2 linked regions of the Arabidopsis thaliana genome follow. The protein of the gene in region 1 interacts with the protein of each later gene in a pairwise test. Each region holds a gene or a part of one and is shown on either strand. Other genes may lie near its edges.

The links.
Region 2: the proteins of AT5G56350 (region 1) and SQD1 interact in a two-hybrid assay, tested with the Arabidopsis thaliana proteins (one large-scale study listed by BioGRID).

What each region holds. Positions count from the first base shown.
Region 1 is NC_003076.8:22,816,492-22,824,689, forward strand, and holds AT5G56350 (Pyruvate kinase family protein), read right to left. Parts: upstream 6,414-8,198; 5' UTR 6,039-6,413; coding exon 5,817-6,038; intron 5,135-5,816; coding exon 4,673-5,134; intron 4,576-4,672; coding exon 3,763-4,575; 3' UTR 3,445-3,762; downstream 1-3,444. Other genes in the region: ATCRT1 (RING/U-box superfamily protein), read left to right, coding at 1,763-2,953; PSL4 (calmodulin-binding protein), read right to left, coding at 7,095-7,160, 7,243-7,294, 7,392-7,453, 7,601-7,688, 7,857-7,925, 8,039-8,096, 8,176-8,198.
Region 2 is NC_003075.7:15,931,560-15,939,416, reverse strand, and holds SQD1 (sulfoquinovosyldiacylglycerol 1), read right to left. Parts: upstream 4,045-7,857; 5' UTR 3,875-4,044; intron 3,405-3,874; 5' UTR 3,367-3,404; coding exon 2,335-3,366; intron 2,253-2,334; coding exon 1,851-2,252; 3' UTR 1,584-1,850; downstream 1-1,583. Other genes in the region: ZIP9 (ZIP metal ion transporter family), read left to right, coding at 4,799-4,813, 4,904-4,946, 5,067-5,728, 6,359-6,814. UniProt on the Arabidopsis thaliana protein: Involved in the biosynthesis of sulfolipids found in thylakoid membranes. Converts UDP-glucose and sulfite to the sulfolipid head group precursor UDP-sulfoquinovose.

The DNA.
Region 1 (8,198 bases):
CAAAATTTCTAGCTCATACATCTTCATTAGCCTTTTGTTTAGAGCAATCCTCTTCTGTCTAAACAGTGAAGATGTGAAGTCATGTGTAGAAACCACCATTATTTAAAGACGAGTCAAAATTTATTGGAAATTTTTCACAAACGAAGCTAAAACTACAAAAAAAGAAAAAAAATCAGACTTACCTCGGCTCTAAAACTTTACCAGTACCATATTCGGGATGGTGAACCACAACCGCGCTGGAATGAACCAAGTTCAATTTTATCGAGTCTTGAAACTCTCGAATGGATACAATATTATGGAACAAAAGAAGAGAAACAAGTAGCTGCATTCATCTTAAGAAACGCAAATTTTTCGAAGAAGCAACTTTCTCATCTAAACCCACCGATCATAACAAGAAATCTAAGATGCTTAAAAAGTTGTCATCATCGCCTATCTGTTCTCGTACTTGTCAGCTTCTATTTCTTTGAAACTATGGTCAATATGTCAAGTAACAATCATCTTTGTTTGGTTGGTGCATGTATGATTTTGAAATCTTAGTTAAGCTATTGGGAGACGTTATCATGTTGAAAACTATTCAAGTCCTGATATTTATCGTATCATAAAATAGTGTGTAAACACATTATTGAAGAATGTAACTAACGGATATATATACACTCAATCTGAAAATAAAGTTCACGCGTCTTTAATTTTCTTTAATCTAAGAAGTCAACATCAAACGAATATTTACATATAATTTACATAGAAGAAGATACTACTTGATATTCTCAATGCAACTAGAATATACATACAACTAGTCAATATAATAAAACCAAACAAGTAGTTATGAAAACTCGATTAAACGAAGACCACAGGCGTTGAATCAGCTACTGGTAGATTAGTAATAAATAAACCTCAAAATTAGTGAAGGAAGCAAAATAAAAGACTATAATTAACAAAAAGTCTTAAAACTTGATTAATAATTAAATGAAAGATTAATAAAATGCTAATTAAGAAAAGGACATAAAGTAAGAGGAAACAAGGAACGAGTTGGGGGGTTAGAAGAGGACGTGGTTGGGTTGTTTTCTTTTGTTTTGTTTCCTTCCACTCTTTCTTCTTCTTCATTTCCTCTTTCTTTCTTCTTCCTTCTCCATTTTTTCTCTAATCGTTGGACAAAAAAGATTGAGCCTTTTTCTGGGTTTTATTTTCTATAAAGGAATCGAAAGAAGCAAGGACAGATTTTAAAAAAAAAATCTTGGGTTTTCAAGAAAAAGTAGAGACATTTTAAAGGTATGATTTTTATGTTTGTTGTGGGCATGTAAATTTCTGGGTTTATCTTTGTCTCATGTATTGTGTTTCTTTATTTGAGAAAATTTATGACAAAGGAAGAAAACAAAAAGCTAGAAATTTGATTCCTTTTTAAGGGTTTTGTTTTCTCTCTTTGATCTTTTACAAGATTCTGGGTTCTTCAGATGTTTTTCTCCTTTTCTGGGTTTAATTCTTTTTGGGTTTTATCCAAATTTATGTAAAAATCTTGACTTTTTCCTCTCCTTTTTCAAAAGATGTTCTTGTCTGAATTTGATTGGTCAAAATCATTTAATTTGGATTATTAATGACAAAATCTACCCATTTAGATTGATACTTGTATAAAAGTTATAACCTTTGAGGGTCTTAGATCTGAAATTTAAAACCAAATTGGTAGATGATAAACAAAATTTCTAGGGTTTCATTGTGTGTTCTTCTTGTTTTGCAGAATCAATAGATTTGTGGGGGTGAAGTAAGGAACATGGAGGAAACAATGGCAGCTAGGTATTGGTGTCACATGTGTTCACAAATGGTGAATCCAGTAATGGAATCTGAGATCAAATGTCCCTTTTGCCAAAGCGGATTCATCGAAGAAATGAGCGGTAATGGCGGTGGAGGTGGTGGCAGAGGCATAAGAGATGTTCAAGATTCAGAAACCGATTTTGGAACAGACCGTGCATTGTCTCTATGGGCACCAATCTTGCTTGGAATGATGAGTAGTCCTCGAAGACGAAGAAGGTTTAGAAGATCAGAGTTTGGTGAAGAGAATGATGATAATGGTGATGACTTGACTACTAATGCTGATGGGAATGGGAATGATAGTAACAACAGTAATAATAACGTGTATCGTCATCATCGAGCTAGGAGACATGGTGGAGAGATTGATTTAGATAGAGAGTTTGAATCTATCTTGAGGAGAAGACGAAGAAGCTCAGGGAATATATTGCAGTTGCTTCAAGGGATTCGTGCAGGGATTGCTTCTGAGTATGAAAGCTCTGATAACAATTGGGATAATTCTCGAGAGAGGGATAGAGTTATAATGATTAATCCGTATAACCAATCGCTAGTTGTTCCTTCGGATCAGAATCAGAATCATCCTTCATTGACTTCACTTGGAGATTACTTCATTGGACCTGGTTTAGATCTTTTGCTTCAGCATTTGGCTGAGAATGATCCTAATAGGCAAGGGACTCCACCTGCTCGTAAAGAAGCTGTTGAAGCTTTACCAACGGTTAAGATAATGGAACCTTTGCAATGTTCTGTTTGTTTGGATGATTTTGAGAAAGGTACGGAAGCTAAAGAGATGCCTTGTAAGCATAAGTTTCATGTTCGGTGTATTGTTCCCTGGCTTGAGCTTCATAGTTCTTGTCCTGTGTGTCGTTTTGAGCTTCCTTCTAGTGCTGATGATGATGATGAGACTAAGACTGATTCCGAGAGAGTGCTGAGAACAAGAAATGTTCGGGAAACGAGTAACGGAAACGTTGTTGAGAATGTGGGAAATGCGGATAGAGGAAGAGAGGATGAGGTGAGGAGTGGAAATGGGAGACGGTTTTCGTTTCCATGGCCGTTTAGTGGATTGTTCTCGTCTTCTTCTTCTTCGTCTTCTTCAACCTCTGGATCTCAATCTGGTGAGAACAATTTCTTCTCAAGATCTTCTGGTTCTTCTCGCTGAGAGCAAAACAATCAAAAACTAAAACATCTTGGATTTTGTTATTGTTCTTCATCTTTTGTTGTTCTCTCATTTTTCTAGCTATTGAACTTGTTATTTCCTCTGCATTTCATTCTCTGCTTTACTGTACATAGAAATGATGTTCTTTCACTCAGACTGTTGAAAAACAAATATCCATTGTTGGTGTACAGAGATGATCAAATTTCAGTTTCCATTGTTTTAGTTTTCAAGTATGAAATTATCTGTCAATCGAGTCCAAATAATGACGAAATATATACAATGATTCAATCTTTCATGTTTTTGTACAGAGATGATCAAATTATGTGTGTCCATTATCTTTGTTTTTAAATATGAAAATTATATTTTCAGATGAATCCCAAATAATGATGGGAATTTTACAAAAATGGAGATAATGATGAGTCTTTGTCGGAATGATTTTTGTATGGGACGATTCATGCGCTGTCTTCTTTTTTGTCTTTCATGTCCCTGTCATTGTAAGATTATAAGAACATGAAACATAAACATATTTTCACCATTGTATTGGCGTATACATAAGAAATACTTGAGAAACAAAAAGAAATCATGATAATTGATACGTGTATGAATGATCCAATAGGTTTCAATACAACCAAAATATCCCAAAAGGAGCTGTTAAGTGGATTCACCGGTCACAGTAGTTGTGGTAATAAGCAAAAAATAGAACTTGAGTTTTCTATCTCAAGATTTTAATCACAATCTTGAATAGTTTCATAATAAAACGTTTAAAGTAGCGTTCCCCAAACGCCAAAAACGTGAATTTTTGAGTGGAATCATCACTTGACGGTCAAGATCTTGATCACGGAAGCATTACCGACTCGGAGTAGAGCAACAACGGAATCTCCAGTCTTGCATAGCTCTTTCTCTTTCCCGTACTGAGTAGCAAACTCGATAGCTTCTTCTGTTGATTCATCGTGTGAGGCTCTTGCGGATCCAGCGTAGAGCACTGGGATCAGACCACGGAAGATAAGGCTGTGTCTCGCGGGGGATTCATCGCTGCAAGACCAGTCAAAGAAGTCGGTTTTGATCTCAGGAACAACGACGGATAGAATAGGCATTCCTGGTCTGTACTTAGCCACAAGTCTTGCTGTGCTTCCTCCTCTGGTTAGGACCATGATGAGAGTGGCTCTAGCTGAGTTAGCAGTTCTGACAGCTGAAGATGCAAGTGACTCGAGTGGACTCATTGGAACTGGAGAGTACAGCATGATCCTCTTGAAGACATCACCGTAGTCAAGGGTGCTCTCGGCTTCCACGCAGATCTTAGCCATTGTACGGACGGCTAGTTCAGGGTATGCTCCAGCTGCAGTTTCACCACTGAGCATGACACAGTCTGTACCATCAAGGACTGCGTTTGCTACATCCGTAGCTTCGGCTCTTGTGGGTCTAGGAGATTTGATCATGGACTCGAGCATCTGAGTTGCTGTGACCACAGGTTTTCCCTGGATGTTGCATTTGTAGATCATCACCTTCTGAGCTAAGAAGATCTTCTCAATCGGGATTTCCATGCCCAGATCTCCTCTAGCAATCATGAAAGCGTCTGAATTGACCAAAATGTCATCAAAATTTGCCACACCTTCTTGGTTCTCGACCTAATCAATCAAAAAGAAGATAGCACAAAACCATCACAACCTAAAGATTTGATCCTGTAGTTTCCGGAACTAAAAAGAGAGCTTTGATTTAACATACCTTAGACATGAGAAGAATGTTTTTGGCGTGCTTTCCTAGAAGTTTCCGGACTTGAACCAAGTCTGAACCTTTCCTGACAAAAGACAGAGCAATCATGTCGATTTGATTCGGGACTCCCCATTGCATGATGTCTTCTTTGTCTTTCTCAGTTAGAGTTGGGAGATCCACAACAACACCTGGGAGATTAACGTTCTTTCTCTCACCGAGCATCGCAGAGTTCTCACACCGGCAACGGACTGTACCGTTCTCTTTGTCACAAGAGAGAACCAGTAAGGAGATTGTACCATCAGCACAAAGAATGACCATTCCTGGGTTCACATCAACAGCCAACTTTTTGTAGCTCATGCAAATCGTGTTCTCGTCACCCTTCAAGTCATAGTCAGTCGAAATAGTGATCTCTTGTCCTTGTTTCAGCTGGATTGGTTTCCCATCTTTCAAGAACCCGGTTCGGATTTCTGGACCCTTTATAACAGAAAAGAAACAACAACACTCCATTAGCAAAATCGAAAACAAACAAACAAATAGATCTGCCACAATTCACATACATAAGACAATTCAAGAACATCAGCTATCACCACTCTCAACAATTATAAGTCTTAGTCATCTATCAAATTTGTATTAACAACAAATTCTTCACCAGTTTCCAAGAGCTAACATCATTTTCTACATTTGGTCTCCACAACAAGAAGATTTCAACTCTTTCTTCTCAACTAATTTGGTCTAACAACTCAGAGTTCTAACTGGAGAAAGTCTCACAGATCTAGATTCATAATTCATAATAAATTTAGTAATTCCCAGATGGTAAAACATCATGAGAGTGAGGTTGGTAAGCGTTGTTCATAAGCAGAGTAAACATTAATAAACAGTCTAACACAAAAATGGCATAAACAGACAAAAAAACAGAAACCATTTACCAAAGATAGATGAAAATACAAAAGAGGCATAAATAAACATTTCACACATAGGAAATAAAATAGACGCGTCAATGTTACAGATCAATAAATAGAATCAAATACCAAAATCCAAACTAAATAAAATATCTAGAAACCCTAGAATTCCAAATCACAGTCGAATCTAAGTCAAAGGAGATGAAATTGGAAACAAAACAACATAAACTATAAAAATGGAAGTCATGTAATCGAACCTTGGTGTCGAGCATGACGGCACAGAGAATCCCAGTGTTAAGCATAGCTTGATGAAGATTATCGAGAGTCTCTTGATGGTATTCATGAGATCCATGAGAGAAATTGAAACGAGCAACGTTCATACCAGCCCTAAGAAGCTTCTCGACCATCGGAACAGATCTGGAAGCTGGACCTAGAGTACAAACGATCTTCGTCTTCGGCCTTTGCTCTATCATCGCCATCGCTAAGTGAAGAAAAAAAACAGACACGGAATTGAGAATCGAGGATCGCGGATGTTTGGTGGAAAGAGAGAGATGAAGAGAGATTTATGGAGAGAGATCTGGCTTGGAGAACAAGGAAAACAGAGAGAGAGAATCTGAGAAAGAATGAGAGATTTATGAGTTAAGAGTCTTCTTCTAGAGTTTTTTTTGACTTTTGAGGTAAAAAATGAGAAATGAAATTGAAGGTTATTGGTTTAGATTTGGTCAACAAAAGACCATATGTTTACTGATTGGTTCACACCGGTTTAATTTTCTTTGAATAATTAAGGAGTGACGCACATTGTTTATTAATATTCGTTTTCGTTTACCTTTTTATGTCTTCTCGATCTATTGTCGGGCCACGTTTTTTTCCAAATATAAAATATCTTATAATGATATCTCATTTAAGTGTTTATGTTGATTAAAAAATGGTATTAATTGTATTTTGGCATTTTGGCAATAGTGTTTAAACTAATTTCTGAAGTTGATCTTTGTTCTTTGTCTTCTTTCATGGTGTTAAGTGTTGAACTGCAGTAATTTATTTCCGGAAATATTGTGTTCTAGTTTGTCTCTATTGGTAATGGAATCTGTAAAAGAAAGCATTAAAACTGAACCAAACCAAACCTACCACTTGTTTAGACATTAAAACCATTTTCTGACCTAAAAGTGAACTTGGAGATGTTTGATAACTGACATATGTACCTTAATATTGACGAGCTCCAACAATCTCGAATAAATTTTAAGACTCCAAAAAAGTTAAAAGGTTTTAGCTCTTCTTCATGTTTTTATATAGAAGAATTGTTCTTTGTGCTTAACCAGAGTTTGAACATTGTCTAAATACTTTTGATATAGAAAATCTCCATTGAACCCAAATGAGGTAAACTTGACTCTATCATTCATTCTCTTCCGGCCCAAAACTTCTCTGTTCTTTTTTTAAGTCCTCTCTTGACGTTTGCGACTGAGCAAGATTACTAGTCTAAACTGACATAAATCTAAGCGCAGTGCGCATATGGTAAGAATTATTTCAGGTGAAAATGATCAGAGTTCGTCGTGATTCTGAGGTTTGTCTTGGTTCATCAACTTCTCGAGCTTCTGTTGTAGTTCCTATACAAAGACAAACACCAGGTTAAGGAAGTGTTAACTAGTGTAGGTCTGTTTTGAGATTTGAGATGACACAAAAACTTACTTTAAGTTTGTCTTCCAAACACCGAGCTGGAGTAGATAAGATGGCCGCATATCTGCAACAAGAGAGTAAAAATTTAAGGATATAAAAAGAAAAACTGGAGATAAAAGGAGATGATGACCCGTGAGATGTAGGTTACGATAAGAACTTACTCGCAACGGCTTGGTTCATCGACATCCATAAGCTCATTTTTCAACCCACATCTTAGTTTCACCTGCATTTAGTGAGACAGTCAAGCTTTGTATATCTCTGTGATCTTTGCAAGCGCAAAAATCTTCTCAGATAATTTTTTTTATATAAATATAATTGGAGAAAATATTAATTGAACAATTAGTTTGGATTTAATGTAATCAGACACTACCTTCAGGCTTCTATCGGGACCATTCCAGCATTTTTCTCCGTTGGTATATGACATGAATTGGTAAGAGTTCTCAAATTTGTCCCACTCCCTATTTTAGCAAATTCCATTAAACAAAATAAGGAAGCGACAAAATAAGCACAGATAAAATAATCACTCATATTTAATTATCATCTGCGAACCAATTCCTTGTTATTAGTTATCTGTATCATGAAAGAGATCAGCATGCACAGAAAAGATAAAGTGGCATGACACTTACCCTAACCGAGTTTTCGAATAGCCCTCCTCTTGTGTTGCTTCTTTATATGCGCAGACTTTGTAAGTATACCTACAGCATTATTTAGGTAATAACAGTAAATGCATCAGATATATAATTCTAATAGCTGATAGTAATGTTAATAAAGAATGGATGTGACATTAAATTGCTAAGATTATTCTTACTTGCCCTGTTTGCTCTCAAAACAACGACCATGGAATGAATAGAACTCTTTCTCTGGTCCTGTTATAAACAATATATAAGGACTAACTTAAAGAAAGGTAAACGTAAGTGAAGGCTTAGGATGTCTTATCATACAGACCAAAGTCTTGTTTTAGCTTCTTT
Region 2 (7,857 bases), on another chromosome or scaffold:
GCTAGTTTACCGAGAGAGCTTCGGATGATCTGGATGCAGTCATTTTTATTTTTTGCATGTGCGAAGCGTAATATATTTTTTACCTTTAATTTGTTAAAACTCAAACGAGTTTCAGTATAGGCGAAGTAACGGAGACATCGTTTTTAATATATTCCACTAGTTCATATTTTTGTGCGTGTTACAAAATACTATTATTCTTTGTTACTCAGATATCATTTGCTAAGGAGTAATTTCCATAGATAAATTTTTGATATTCAAGTTTCAAAACCATACTGTAAAGTGTATGCACATACGTTCATACATCCGAAATTAACTTGAAAAAAGAAAAAAACTTGCCGACCTATATACAACTTGGTGGTAGTTTGTGGGATTAAGAATTTTGTGTGAGATCATGTGACATGTCTTCGAAATTAAGGTTATGCTATTTTGTATATATTTTTAATTCGCAAGTTGATGAATACTGATGGAGGCCGAGGATGATGAGCTCATCAATCATAACCAACAATCTCTCCAACAAATGTTTAGTAAATAATGATATTAATATTTGCAATAAAATGCAAAGAAAACTCTCAGTGCCTCCACACCAAAAGCCTCCACGCTTTCAAACTATTAATTTCAGTTAAGTTGAATAGTGTTAAGTGTTAACTATGGAGAATTGTTTGTTCAATTATTTGATCATTCCATCCACTTGTTTTATTATTTATATCTAGTTTCTTTTATTTTTCAATATCATTTGTAAGTAGCATTAAAAAAATTGAATAAAAATATATACACTTTTTGGACAGCAAGCTCTCTCACTTTTCCTCATTGGTGCTATTTTCGGATATGCTGCAAAAACAACAGAGACAAAATCGTAGATACAAATGTGTTAAGAGGCGCACAACATGAATATTAAATTTTCCCAATACGCTTTTACGTGTAACTCTGAGATATGGTGGCAGCTCGGCCACTAAGGATTCATTTGATAGTTTCAAAGAAAAGCACGCAAAAAAAATCATAGACGTACGTAAGCGGAACACAGAGTCCAGATAGAGTGCAGTTTATTCATATAATCATATTGCATATTTTGACGGAAAAAAAATAAAATCATATTGCATATTTTTCTTCAATTAAAAAATAAATGGGAATTGGCCAATTGGGATATCGACTTACTTTTGGTTATGTGGTTTTCGTCAAACAAAATAAATGGGGAAAGTGAAAATATGTGTAAGCTGTTTCTTTTTTTTTATAACTATAGTAGTAATCGAATCGTTTATTGTTCTTTAGAAAAATAGTATACGAAAAAACGAGAGAATCATTAGGGCTACAATTATAATTATACAAAACCCACTCTATTCCTTAGAGTTTGACCCCACAAGTTTCCTTCGTATTTGGAAAAGACATTAATATTTTTTAAAAATAGCCAACGACGATGACCCACCAACACCACTCTCCATTATTTTAAATTTAATACACCAAAAGTATTACGTAACTTATATAAATTTTAAACCAGATTTTATTGAAGAAATTTAATTACAGTTTTATTCGTCTAAGATCTCGAAGAAATTTTTCTGCAACCATTGATCGATATTCGTCAGATTCTCTTAACTGAAGTAAAAGATGGTTTTCTGTTACTTATTTAACATTTTCTTATTTTTCATATAATATAGTTTTTCTCATTACATAACATTTAAGGCAACATTATAACATTTTCATCGAAATTAAGATCTAACATTAAAGAACCTGCACAATGTAATATGGACAAAACCTCTTAAGCCTAGCAAGTCTTTTGCAGAAATGAAGTTTGAAGATACCAAACAACACATCATCTCTTTCATAATCTCTCCTTATGTGTAATATTGGTCTGCACTTTATGTGGTCATGGACTTAGTCTTGACGCCAATCTTCTTCCAGGAAACACTAGGCATGATTTGTTTCGTGTCCACACGATCTTTAAACTGAACAGCAAAGTTGAGCAACGAATCAAGAAGTGAGTCAGATAGATAGTGAGGCTCAAGTCCAAGTTCCATCAGCTTAGTGTGCTTTGCGTTGTAGTAATGTTCTTCTGCCTCCACTCTCGGGTTAGGCACCGTCATCTTTTTCACGTCTAGCCCAAGCTTTGAACCCGCTTTAGTGACGAGTGAAGCCAGTTCATTGACTGAAAACTGTTCTGTAAATTGGTTGAAGACCCGGAACTCACCAGCTTTTGCCGGGTTTGCTATAGCGATCTCAACACATTGAACCGTGTCTCTTATATCGAGGTAGCCTCTCGTCTGCAAAGGGAAAAACTTCAATCAAAACCTCAAATTTTTCGATTGAAATTTCATGTGAAAACAGATCAAGAAAGTCATTTACCTGACCACCTTTACCATAAACTGTAAGTGGGTGACCAACAGCAGCTTGCACACAGAACCGGTTAAGTGCTGTACCAAACACAGCATCGTAATCCAGTCGGTTACGGAGTTCCTCATGCATCTCTGTCTCATCAGTCTTCACTCCATAAACAACTCCTTGGTTGAGATCAGTGGCTCTAATACCCCAAGCCTTGCAAGTAAAAGCAATGTTGTGCGAATCATGAACTTTGCTAAGATGATAAAAGGAGCTAGCTTGCTTGGGGTATGGCAAAGTGTCAGTTCTACCGTTGTGGGTTATGGTTATATAACCTTCCTCGATGTCAATATTTGGAGTTCCATACTCACCCATCGTCCCAAGTTTTACAAGATGACACTCCTCTCCAAACTCTTTTATAGCAAAGAGAACGTTGAGAGTCCCAATCACATTGTTGTGCTGTGTATAAACTGCTCTGGACCGGTCAATCATCGAGTAAGGAGCGGATCTCTGTTCCCCAAAGTGGACAACTGAATCCGGCTCAAAAGACTTGAAAGACTCAGCTAAGAATTCGAAATCACAGATATCACCAACGTACAACTCAATTGATTTCCCTGTCAAAGCCTTCCATCGGCTGATTCGGTCATGAATGGAGGCAATAGGAGTCAATGACTCAAGTCCAAGCTGGTGGTCGAAAAGACGTCTTACAAGGTTGTCAACAATGCAAACTTCGTAATTCTTCTTGGACAAGTGGAGAGCAGTAGCCCAACCGCAATAACCATCTCCACCAATGACCATAACACGCTTTGGTTTAGAGGATGAGTTATTGGTAGATGTTTCGGGTGGTGCTTGTTGGGTTATAGGTACAGCAGTTGCTCTGAAAACGCAGCTTTTTCTCGGTTTCTTCTCTTGGAAGAGAAGTCCTTTGAGAGAAGATCTTGAAAGAAGCTGAGCATTGAAGAAGGTCTGCCCTGAAACAAACGGCTTAACTGAATTCTTGCTGCTGCTGCTGCTAAGTGAGATAACTGAAGGGCATGAAGCTGAAAGTAGATGCGCCATTTTAAAGGTTTGTTCTTGATTCTATCAAACAAATTCACCTGCAAAAACAAAAGCAGCTAAGATTTCAAGACATAATTTGGTTCAGCAGAACAAGACATATCAAGTAGATGTTTCATACCATATAACAAGTAAGGATTCAGCTGATTTTCTCTAGTTTAACTTCAAATTCAAATCAAAATCCAAAAAGACATGAATAGAAATCGAAACTTTATCTTCACACCCCCCCCCCTAAATCAGCTACGTCCATAACAAGAGAAGAATCAAAACACACGAAATTTGAAGTCTTTTATCGAATCTGAAAATCAGCTATTGTCAAAGACTGGATATTTATTTGATCAACTAAAGTAAATGTAAGAAAGAAGTACATTGATGAAATTCAGAGAAAACCCAACTGAATGAAAACTCTGTGAATTTTGATTTCCTATCATATTCAGAGTTTCTTCAAAACGAAATCACTCAACTTACAAAACCGGAGAAATGAAATTCATTAGAAGAAACGATTGCTTACCTTTGAAAATTTGGAATCTTGTTTAGAGAGAGTTGGAGAAGATCCTTCGAGACTTTGAACTTTGAAGTGAGGGATGGGTCTCTCTTCTCTTCTCCCGGAACGATGAGAGATGAGATGAGACAGATATAAATCATCAGATATGCCCAAAGCATATTCTTACTTATTCCCTTCCCAACAAATTATGGCCCAAAGTGTCGCTTTTTTAAGAACGTTGGTTTATTAGTTTTAAAGTTTTCCGGTTGTGAATGATACAGGTCCGGCCTTTGTGGGCCAGTTTCTCAGTCGCTCATTTAGGCAACTTAAGGAACATTCTTCCCTTACTGGGCCGGTTGGCCCAAATATATACTTTTTGAATATGTTTGTGGCTATTTTCTAAATTTTAACTTTTAATTATTAAAACAGAGAATCATGAGATAGGAGAAAAACAAAATCAACTGTAAAATGCAAACCTAACTTACATAATCTTTTGAATGAAATTTTATTAAGACGCAAAACATTACTAGTATTTCGCATTGTAATAGTCATTTTTCTGCAAGTTGACCAAACAAGAGTCATACTTCTGATGCAAGATACGAACAAAGACTTCAATTATAACAAAACATTCTCATACATCTCATCTCTAATTCTATATTTGTTTTCTCGTAGTTATTATCTTCCAAACTTTAATATTCTTGTCAATGAGGGTACTAGATGAAAATGACGACATTCTATGGTCATTTGATTCCCGTGAACCTCATGTGACCTTGTTAACGTACGTGCACGCACACACAAACCCTCGCACTGATTGACATTCTCCCAATCTTTCTTTATAAAACACACAGACAACTCCATAATATTAATAACCCATATATACTTAGCTTGCTGGTTTCCTTGGCAATAATTTATATAATTCTACAAGTTTAATCGCCTAATCGGATTTAGTAAATGTCTCTCTTACAGGTCTGAAACTTCTTCCACTTCATCTATTTAATGTTATTTTGCTTCTTCAATCCTGTTTCCTCACATAATTTTGCCTCATAATGTTTTCAGGATTTTTGGCAGTTTCTTCGACCATTATCATCTGGTTTGACAGGTATTGTCACTTCAAATCTCAAAGCAATTACTTCATTTCGCTCTTAAACACACTTAAATGCAAATTTTGAGATTTTCTTAGCAAAGTTAACTCAATTTATTTTTGCATGTAACAAAACAGAGTCGTTCACAACTAGCTGTGACTCGGGCGACTCAGACCCGTGCCGAGATGACGCAGCTGCTCTTACCCTCAAGTTCGCAGCTATGGCGTCGATCCTTATCTCCGGAGCTGCCGGAGTCTCGATTCCTCTAGTTGGAACCCTACTTCCGTTAAACGGTGGCTTAATGAGGGGAGCCAAAGCGTTCGCAGCAGGAGTTATCCTCGCAACAGGGTTCGTTCACATGCTCTCGGGCGGATCCAAAGCTTTGTCCGACCCATGTCTGCCGGAGTTTCCATGGAAAATGTTCCCTTTTCCAGAATTCTTCGCCATGGTCGCGGCGCTTCTTACTCTGCTCGCGGATTTCATGATCACGGGATACTACGAGAGGAAACAGGAGAAGATGATGAACCAGTCCGTCGAGTCGCTTGGTACGCAAGTTTCGGTTATGTCTGACCCAGGTCTTGAATCGGGTTTTCTGAGAGATCAAGAAGATGGAGGGGCGTTGCATATCGTGGGGATGCGGGCTCACGCGGAGCATCACCGTCATAGCCTCTCCATGGGTGCCGAAGGTTTTGAGGCTCTCTCTAAGAGAAGTGGTGTTTCCGGTCATGGACACGGCCACAGCCACGGCCACGGGGACGTAGGCTTGGACAGTGGTGTGAGGCACGTTGTTGTTTCTCAGGTAAACGACCTTTTTCTTTTCTTCATATGTTTTTTGACTTTGACTTTGTTTTTCGTAAGCTCTGACTTTTAAGTTTTGAGTTCTTTAATGCTAATAAGATTTATTTATTTCAAATGCAGTTGACTTCATTCATATACAATGTAGCCAAGTCAATTGGATGAATTCTAATAACTGTACATGACTTGCATAAGCTGTTTTAGAGTTGTTATAGTAATCAACTATAAAGTTTTACAATGCCAAGTTTAGTTAGTTGCTAATCACTATATAGATTTTGTTATTGAAAAAAATAATAAAATTTATTTTATTGCTTGTTTAAGTAATTATTTAATGTTATCTTCGTAACTATTATATATAGTACTACTTCATGTTCATTCTACCAAAACATTATTAATATGAAAACGAAAAAATAAGATAATTCTAAAATATCATACTATTATTTAAGTTTTCTTCCAAAGATACAAATGACGACTTAAACGCATTGTGGAAACATTTTTTTTTTTTGGTGTGTGTGTGTGTGTTAATATATTTTGACGTTATGTGACTTAGTCAAACCAATCCGTTTATATAATTTCCTTGTATAGTGTCGATGCACAAAATCAATTGATGATACCCTTATATTTTTGTATTCAGATACTTGAAATGGGAATAGTGTCACATTCAATAATCATAGGAATATCGCTTGGAGTATCACATAGCCCATGCACCATACGTCCTCTCCTTCTCGCTCTTTCCTTCCACCAATTCTTCGAAGGTTTTGCCCTCGGTGGCTGCGTCGCAGAGGCCAGACTAACCCCGCGTGGATCTGCCATGATGGCTTTCTTCTTCGCCATCACTACTCCGATCGGTGTAGCGGTGGGAACGGCCATTGCCTCATCTTACAACTCTTATAGCGTTGCAGCATTGGTGGCTGAAGGAGTGCTCGATTCTCTCTCTGCGGGGATACTTGTGTACATGGCGCTTGTGGATTTGATCGCTGCGGATTTCTTGAGCAAGAAGATGAGTGTTGATTTCAGAGTTCAAGTTGTTTCTTATTGCTTTTTGTTTCTTGGAGCTGGGATGATGTCTGCTCTTGCAATTTGGGCTTGATCACTTTTCATTATTACTATTTGTTTATGAAAGTAATAAATTTAGGCATGCCTTTTTCTTTTTTCTTTTGGACAGAATTATTATAGGTATGCCTATCACTCTATTTGTTTCAAAATAATGTTTGTAATCAATTCTATTAGATATTCACTCTTTATCAATCATGTTATATATTTTTGTAGCTGGTAAACAAATAATTAATTTTTGAACAAAAAACAAAAACAAATACAATTAGTTTTTACAAGCAAGTATGCAACTGAAATCCAAAGATTTTCTTGACGCCTTTTCGAGCATATTCTAATCCTTCATTTTGATTTAGCTCAAGAAACGCCATAATAGAACCATATATATGAACTAAGTGTTTTTAAAAAGAGTAGGTCATGACTCATGAGTAATCTTTTCCACGATCTTTAAGATATATTATTCTTGGAAGGTCGAAAACTATAATATTTCATTTTCTGTCGAATATATATATATATGGATGACGATGGTTCCCATGCATGATGAAGAAAAAGACGAACCCTATATTTATCTGTTTAATTAAAATTTTCTTTGTGGAGATAAACTCTCTGTGAAACGCATTCCGCCACCTAATTTATCATATATTTTCATGTGAACCAAAATAATTAAAATTTGTTTGCCATATATATATTTATTTGTTGTTATCTTTCTGAGTGATAAAGGTGACAAACATTTTTGTCCACTGATACCCAATCTCTTCCACTTCAGTTCCCTTCCTTTCAAATTTTATCTCGTGCTTTTACAGCATATCCCACAATTCCTGTAAATTATCTCAAGGATTTGGTGCATAAATTCTATTTTTTCGTACTTTTTTGTTGGATATGTAAATCAGAACCAAAAAAACTTAACATTGATTAAACTTTACAATTTACGTATGTCCCATTAGAGGGGAACTACAGTTTTTGTAGGAAAATAAGAAATTTGCGAACTAAAGACACTAAATAATCCTACTTTTAAAATCACAATAGTTAGTACTCAATAAAAAATATTGTATATTGTTGTGAAAAAATGTAAATAGTTTGGAG